2 linked regions of the Oryzias latipes genome follow. The protein of the gene in region 1 binds, or shares a complex with, the protein of each later gene. Links are inferred from orthologs where the notes say so. Each region holds a gene or a part of one and is shown on either strand. Other genes may lie near its edges. The genes, in order: nup58 and nup62.

Region 1 (3,821 bases):
AGTGTGGGTTCTTTGTAAAATAAGTCCACGTCTAATGATTCAAGGTGGAAAACATAAAAGAAAAATTACATTTGGTAGAATATTTCTTTATTGTACAAAAATGTTTCTGGGAAAAGTTATATAAAAATGAATTAATGAATAATAAAAATTAGCCCTTTTTTTAATTTCTTGTTTTTTTTAGAAATAAAATGAGTAGAGAAAGTGTTTTGTTTCTCAATGTGAAGTAGGTCAATTAAAACCTGTTTTTCAAATGTTATTTTTGTTTGTAAGGAGCTGAAAAATGCTGACATAGCACTGCGGACACAGAAGACCCCCCCTGGACTCCAGCATGAAAACACAGCTCCATCAGAGTAAGTCAGTCAACGACCACATGTCCAGGAGGCCTCAAAGCTCAAAGGATTCAAAGAAAATCGCTCCCTCTTTGCTCTAAAAATATGTGAATTCTTTAATAGACAGGAACTTGAGTACTTCTTTTTCTTTTTTTTAACTAGTTATTTCCGAAGCCTTGTGGAGCAGTTTGAAGTGCAGCTGCAACAGTACCGGCAGCAGATCGAAGAGCTGGAAAATCACCTGACAACACAGAGCAGCGGCTCCCACATCACTCCTCAGGGTAATTTGTCCTTATTCATGATGTGTTATCCTGTATTTTAAACCAACATGTCTGTTTATGAAGATTTAGGATAAACAAATAGATAATATAGCCACCTGTAAACGTTTATCTACTCTTGCTTTGCATCTGCCTTGTATATCTTATCATTTCTTTTAGCGTATGCTAAATTAGCACACAGCCTAAGGATGTTTTTCTTTCCTTTCAGATTTGACGATGGCCATGCAAAAGTTGTACCAAACATTTGTCGCACAGGCTGCTCAGCTTCAGTCTGTCCATGAGAACGTCAAGGTCAGGTTTTTTTTTTAACAGTAAAATGTGTCGGATAATTTCAAATCTCCTAAATATTACTATATATATCAACAAATAGTTTTTTTTTAATCACAGATACAGAATTGTTAACAAAAAGTTAAATATTTGTTTGTTTTTGCCATTTGTTTGTATGGTAATGTCATGTAAATATTTTAATATCTGGTGCTGCAGATTTTGAAGCAGCAGTATCTTTCCTATCGTCGAGCCTTTCTGGAAGATACCACAGACATTTTTGAGACCAAGCGCGCGTCCAACAGGAAATGGCAGAGTGCATCACGAGTCACAACTGGGCCTGCTCCCTTCTCCACCGTACCCAACGCTGCAGCTGTTGCCATGGCAGCCACGTTGACCCAGCAACAGCAGCCAACTCCAGGTCTGACTGCCTACAAGTTCTAGAAAGTACTCCTCCTCATCACCTTGGTTAAGAGAATAAAAGTAGGGAGGAGAAACTAAATAAGAAGTGTTGGAAGGGCAGGGTGATTGTTTTATTTTTGTTTGTTCTTTTTAAGTATCAAAGTGTTTTGGTTGCAAGTAATTTTAAAGACGACAGAATTATCAGAAATAACACTTGATGGTGTTATTCTGACTGTGTGTAAACTACTTTGAAAGAAAAGTGTGTGACAGGGATCTAGAAATCTGCTTGAGACATCTGACATGAGTTTTTGCACTGCCTTACCATCCAATTAAACCTCACAGTCTAAGTGTAAGGTTACAGTCGGCTCCAGTGCACAATTAACACCTAACTCTGTCAGTTTGCACTTTTTTTTTTTAAAGAAAATCCTCTGAAATGTTGTTATGCCAGTGGAATCACTGGGGGGGAAAAAGAAACACTGTTAATGGAAGAAAACTCACCATTCCTATGAAAAATATGTACAGATCCCAATCCAAACTCTAACAGTATTCTGTAGACCGCTATAGATAACATAACCTATTCTTGTAGGGTTTTTGCAGTTCTCCAGATCTTTATCAGAATTTTTAAATCAGACAGTTCATTATTTGAAACATGTTAAAACATTTAGGAATTCAACTGTTCACATGATCCAAAATGAGCAGATTTAACTTCCATTTAAGAATGTTTCCGATCACTTCATCTCTTTGTCCAAAAAACATTTTTCAGCGTTTCCGTTGGACATGTATTCCTAAAATCTTCATCACTTGTGGATACATCATTTTGGCTTTATTGAACAATTTCTCAACTGAAATGACTAGTCTGTGTTTTCCATCACGCGTCTGTGGTGTTTGATATTGTCAGCCATTTTTGTAGGCTTTGGTTTGTAGGCCATCTTACTGGCATATCAGGGCACCAATGTTGTGATGAACAGACAAAGCTGTTAGTAGCAAGTTTCTGCTGGCCTTTTGTTCCCATAAACTTTTAACAAAAAGAAGTAAACACTTCAGATGATTTCGAGAGCAATATTTGACTGGGTTTCAGCAAAGTCTAAACACTCTTCGTTGGCAGTGTCCTTAAAAATAGGATTTCCAGTCTCATGTCAAACAATATTTGCTGCTTATTTTTAAACAAAGCTTTCCAAACTTGCATAGACTGTTATATCTACTTGCAATGTGTTAACTGAAGTGCTGCTCGCTTTTCATTGGTAGTTTTCCTCTACTTTTGATTACTTCACTTCTTTGAGTAATCACATACTTCATAAAAAAAATATGTGCCGTGGAGGGATGGGAGTATTTGTGTACTACAATGTAAACACTGAAGGCACCTCTCTAACTATCTCATTACCACAACCAGTATAACCCACTGTTGTGTTACGAGTGAACACCACCTCTGTGCCTGCTGAAGATTGCGTTTGTTTGTTTTGCTTTGTGTTTATAAAGTTATAAAGTTTCTAGTTGTAAATCTGCATACTTGTGCTATGATCACTGTTCAATGAGAATCCATTCTTTACATTTAAACTCACTGCCAATCATTTTCTGACCGTGTGCCACAGAATAGTATTTTTTTTTGAACACTGATTTGTTGTGCTGAATAGCCAACGTCTTAAATAAGTGGATCAATTTTTCCATGCTGAATTGCAACTTGTATTTATTTAGCTATTTATTTCTGGGTTACTTGACGCATGTGGAGGGTGAACAGAAGCACTTTTCCTTTGGTAGACTTTATCACATACATTGACAGTGCGGTTGTGTGTTTTCCTGACACTGTTTGTTGGCGCAAAACATTCAAAGACTCAGGATTGAAAATGTCAAATTTCCAGACGTGTTGATTTCTACTGAGGCTTTGTCCTTCAGTGACTGCTTGATGACCTTGTTGAAATAGACCCAGTCAGGTTTTGTTGGCCTTAAGTTGTTTGGTTTCAGGAGAAAAAAATGTACTTTTCATCTCACTGCTTGATATTGAATGGAGTCATTTTGGTATCAGGCCAATATCACTGTTTCTTGATACATTACTTTTACCCAAGGGCTACAGTCGGCATAACAGGGCTAGTTCATTTCTATCATTCAAAGAAAAATGTGGAGTTCAAATGCTGATTCTGAGTTTCAGGTATTTCTTTCTTAACATTTGGGTACTTGACCTGGATTCTAGTTGTAAGGTGCTTTTCGTTTTGTGTAGAAAATCTTTCAGTCAAATCTTCGTATAGGTTGGTTGAGATTCAGGTCATTGGGAATAGAGGATTGCCGCTCGCGCTGCTCCACAGGTACCAGAGAGGTAGATGTTGGTGCCAAATCAAACGGCCAAGTGTCAAGTTCGAATTTACAGTATTACGTGATGTAGAAAGTGTTAACATCCAAACTAGAGGCAAAGAAAACGGTGTTAATACATTGTCAGTGCGTACAGGGATCATTGGCAAACCTAATTTAATTGTTTATTGGTGGAGTTTATTTATTTAAAAAAGGAAAAACCTTTCTGGCTTTTTCCATAAAAACACTAATATTTTTGTAATATAGA
Region 2 (4,222 bases), on another chromosome or scaffold:
AAAAAAAACATGGTGCCAAAGGTTCGTAATAACAGGTTTACAGCTGAGATGCTATTGTTGTCAAATCTATGCAAAGGTACAAGTCCATCACTGTGGAATGATGTCATTTTACTCATCGCCTGTGTTCCCGTCAAGTTGAAATCTCTCACTGCTGTGATGTTCAGGTAGCATCCACTGTACTTTAGATCATCACTGAATCGGATTGTTTTTATTTTTATTCAATCCAAAGGGAATGTGCTAAAAAGACTGTTTTTATGGGTGTAACTGCTTCTTTTTGTCATATATAAAACAATTTAAAGAATTATTTCTAATGAATCTTCCTTTTCTATATAAAAAAAAAAACATCTTCAGCTTCTCCGTAAATTAAGTTTAAAACATTGTTTTGACAAAACTCAAACAAATGCTGAAGTCAATTCCCCTTCAAACGAGTGTCATAGCAAAAACATCCTAATTGAAAATCCACCTTGCAAGTATTAACCCTTGTGCTATCCTAGGCACTTTAACATTGGGAGTGGGGTCATCTAGACCCACTAGACAGTGCGCTGAACCTTTTTTCTTCAATGATTTGTGATCTTCACTGGTGTCCATGGATTACATGAAATCTTTCCACCTTTGTCATGGTAGGGAGAACACGTCAATGTAAGGGTGGGGTCATCTAAGATAGCACAAGGGGTAACATCAGTCTTAGAACAAGAAACAAATCTTGTCATTAGATGTTTTTCAATCCTAAATATAGATAAAAAACAGGTAAAATTAGGATGTGAAAACACAAAAAAGTTCAAAATTTGTTTTTAATCATTCTATTCAGGTAGATACAATTATAAAGATGATTGCATTTAAAATAGTTTTGCAACACACAATAGAAGTATAATAAAGGAGAAAATCCAAAGCAAAATGGGAAAAATAAGCACTGAGCCAAAAAACAAATCAGTCAAAGGTTAGACGAAAGGTCTTCTCCTGCTCTTTGCGCTGGGTGTCGCACTGTTTGGACACTTCCTCCACTCTTCTGTGCAGCAGGACAGAGTTCTGGTCGATCCACTGCAGCGAATCCATGTGAGCATTCAGGATCTTGCAAATCTGCTGAAGCTAAAGGATTCAAAAAGAAAGGAAGGCGATTAAAACAGCAGAAGACTTGATTTTATGAGAAATATGATTTAAAAAAAAAAGGCTCAGATCTTACTGGATCACTGGTGTCTGCCGGCCCGCTGGATGTGTTCAGGTGCTCAATGATCTCCTTCAGGTCCTGTGACATCCTCTTCAGCTGGGCGTCCACGTTCTCAGCGAGCTTGTATGTTCTTTCGCGTTCCTCGTCTGCGTTCTGCATGTAGATGGTTCCGCTCTGCTCCTTCACAGTCTCTTCCAGAGGGCAAAGCAAGTCCTCCAGCTCCTTCTGCTGGGACAGAATGAAATCGAGCTCCTGGTTGAGCCTTCTCTGGTCCAGCTTCACCTTCTCCATCTCCTTATGCAGAGACGTGATCTTTTCCCCGTTCTCCACCAGCATTCTGTCCCAAGCGTTGACCTGAGTTGCCTGCTGTAAGAAATGCCTCTCTTGGTCCTGAAGTTCAAGACTCCACTTGTTTATGAGACCCTCCAGCTGGGCGTAGGTCATCACCGGAGGGGCCGTGGTGGTGGTTGTAACGGCTGTTGCTGTGGAGGCTGTTGTGGAGCTTGAGATGGTCGGAGGTTTGAATCCCAGCGTGAAGCCTGCGGTGGCATTAGCTGTGACAGCTGCAGTTGTTGTGGTGGTGGTGGAGCCGGTGTTTGCTGCTGTGCTGGCAACGGACCCCAGAGGCTTGAGCATGAAGGATGGAGCTGTACCTGCAGCTGTGGATGCTGCCATGCTGGTTGACAACGCTGGAGCTGCACCCAAAGTAAAACCTGAAGTTGGCGCTGCTGCAGAGGTTGTGATGATAGGTGACGCAAACAGAGACAGGCCTAGGGTGGGGGCTGACTGGGTGGGGGCTGACTGGGTGGATGCGGGAGGAGCTGGTGTTGATGAGGGTTTAATTCCGAAGTTAAACCCTCCACCCTGGGTTGGAGCTGCTGGAGCTGCAGCTGCTGGGGCTGGCTGGGTGAGGGTGGAGGGGGCAGGGGTCCCGAAGCTGAAGCCTCCTCCCCCCGCTGCGATGGTTGTGCTTGCAGCTGAGGTCACCTGGACTTTCGGCGCTCCGAAGCTGAACCCTCCGAAAGCCATGCCACCTGATGCGGTGGTTGTTGTAGGTGCAACTGTCGCTGCGGGTGGGGCCTGGGAGGTAGCCCCAAAGTTGAAGCCCCCTCCCGCTGGAGCGGCGCTGTTCGTCTGCGAAGACAACATCCCGCCCAGGGTGAAGCCGGACCCCGCAGCTGGAGCGGCCGAGGAGCCTAAGGTCAACCCAGTGGCGGCGGTGGTTTGGGTAGTCGTGGCCAGGCCGAACGTGCCGGTGGCGGCGGCGGCGTTGGGTGTGCCAAAGGAGAAGCCGGTGCCGCCGGCGGAAGAGTTCTTAGCCGGTGCGCCAAAACTGAAGCCACCGGTCGGGTTGGCGTTGGTCTGACTCTGAGTCGGAGTGCCAAAAGAGAAGCCCGTTCCCGAAGCCGCAGCCGTGGAGTTCGTTAAACTGAAGCCCGGGGCCGGAGCGGCCGCTGTGGTCTTCTGCGCTCCGAAGGCAAAACCCGAAGGTTGCCCGAAGTTGAATCCGCCACTCATGTTCTTCCTCTGATAAAAACAAAATGACTTTACAGCTTACGAACAAAATGGTATCTTTCACCACAGTTTTTGGCGGGTCGCTAGCACGAGCTGCCGGTTCAACTAGCTTCACCGAAGAAAAACCGTCTAATGAGAGGACTTCTTACGTTAGCCACGGATATTTTAAATCATAGTCTAATAACTAATTCTTTCACTGTGCCGGTAAATATAATAATACTAGCGAAGCATCTTTAAAAAAAACGTGGGTAACTGACCAAACGTTTCTTTGAGCATACTTTCTGTTGTAGCTAAAGGAAGTGACGCCACTTTCAACATGCAATTTTGCCCTCAATTCTGTCTGTCAGAGAAAAAGCCCCACCCTCTAGTTTAGATTGACATCCTTAACACCAAATTACTGTGCCGAAATGAAAAATGCTGACATTTGATTGGTTTTTATTTTTTAACCTTACAGACAAGCACTGGGGATCAGAGCGACGGCATTTCAACCAGTCAAAGAGTTAATAGAGGACAAGAGATGCACAGAACGCACTTTTTAGTGTCGTAGATATGAACTACATGTTAATAATTCCTCTTGCATTTTGCTAAATAATTAAAATTATATAAATTCGTTTTGTTGTTAAACGCTTTAAAGTAAAACAACATATATTTTATTTGTCACGCAAATATGTATTACTTTCTACATTAGTGGTGTTTTTAGCGGTCTAATCTAACCCATCTGATATGCGGGTTAGGAACCAAAAGTGATCAATTTGTAGGTGGCGAACATCCCAAAAGTTGTATTCCAACCACCATAAAATAAAAGCAGAAGAATAATCTATTTAAATTGCATAAAAGTTGTCATCTTTATTTTATAAAGACTACTGCAAAATAGTTGCGTTGTTCTCTCGGCGTCGAATCAACTCTTTGAACTTGCTAGCTCAGCTGCGGAGTGGGTGCGTTTGCCGTGTTGACTTTTGACTGAATTTTACAGAGGACGTCCGAAGTGAGGGATGATGCTTTAGTCCGTCTGTGACCATGCCTGCAGCAGGAATTCAGTCCAAGTGGAAACACGGTCGATAATCGCAAACGTGCGGGCGAACTGCTGAGTTTAGCCAACAAGCTAGTGTGTCAACAAGCGTCACATATTTATTGTTGTGGCCGCGTGCGCCATAAGAATTCGGACGTGTCGTGTGTGTTTGAAATCTGATCAAGTCGAGGCCGGAGAGCAACATGAGGCTTTTAAGGTTCCTGAGGAAGAGCGTGGCGGTCGGGAAGGACATTGACTATTACTCAAAGTTTTCTCCTTCGCCTTTATCCATGAAGCAGTTTCTGGATTTTGGTAAAATGAATTTTAGATGCTTTAAATATAGTTGTAATTTACTCCCCCTCTCTCTATGTGTGTGTATTCTAGCTTATGGTTGGAATTTTAAAGGATACTTTAAAGTATTTTTGAAAGTCCTCCATGTTTTTGTCTTCCTTCAGGTTCTGAAAATGCATGTGAGAAAACATCCTTCGCCTTCCTCAGACAAGAGCTCCCTGTGAGGCTGGCAAACATCATGA

What was found.
Region 2: nup58 (region 1) and nup62 share a complex: the UniProt entries of both Homo sapiens proteins name them as parts of the p62 complex. The link is inferred for Oryzias latipes from reciprocal best matches to the Homo sapiens genes NUP58 and NUP62.

What each region holds. Positions count from the first base shown.
Region 1 is NC_019878.2:13,567,400-13,571,220, reverse strand, and holds part of nup58 (nucleoporin p58/p45), read left to right. Parts: intron 1-270; coding exon 271-350; intron 351-491; coding exon 492-610; intron 611-815; coding exon 816-898; intron 899-1,090; coding exon 1,091-1,292; intron 1,293-3,821. UniProt on the Homo sapiens protein: Component of the nuclear pore complex, a complex required for the trafficking across the nuclear membrane.
Region 2 is NC_019879.2:22,073,583-22,077,804, forward strand, and holds nup62 (nuclear pore glycoprotein p62), read right to left. Parts: upstream 3,000-4,222; 5' UTR 2,684-2,999; coding exon 1,181-2,683; intron 1,087-1,180; coding exon 928-1,086; 3' UTR 774-927; downstream 1-773. Other genes in the region: pdk1 (pyruvate dehydrogenase (acetyl-transferring) kinase isozyme 1, mitochondrial), read left to right, coding at 3,893-4,001, 4,145-4,222. UniProt on the Homo sapiens protein: Essential component of the nuclear pore complex. The N-terminal is probably involved in nucleocytoplasmic transport.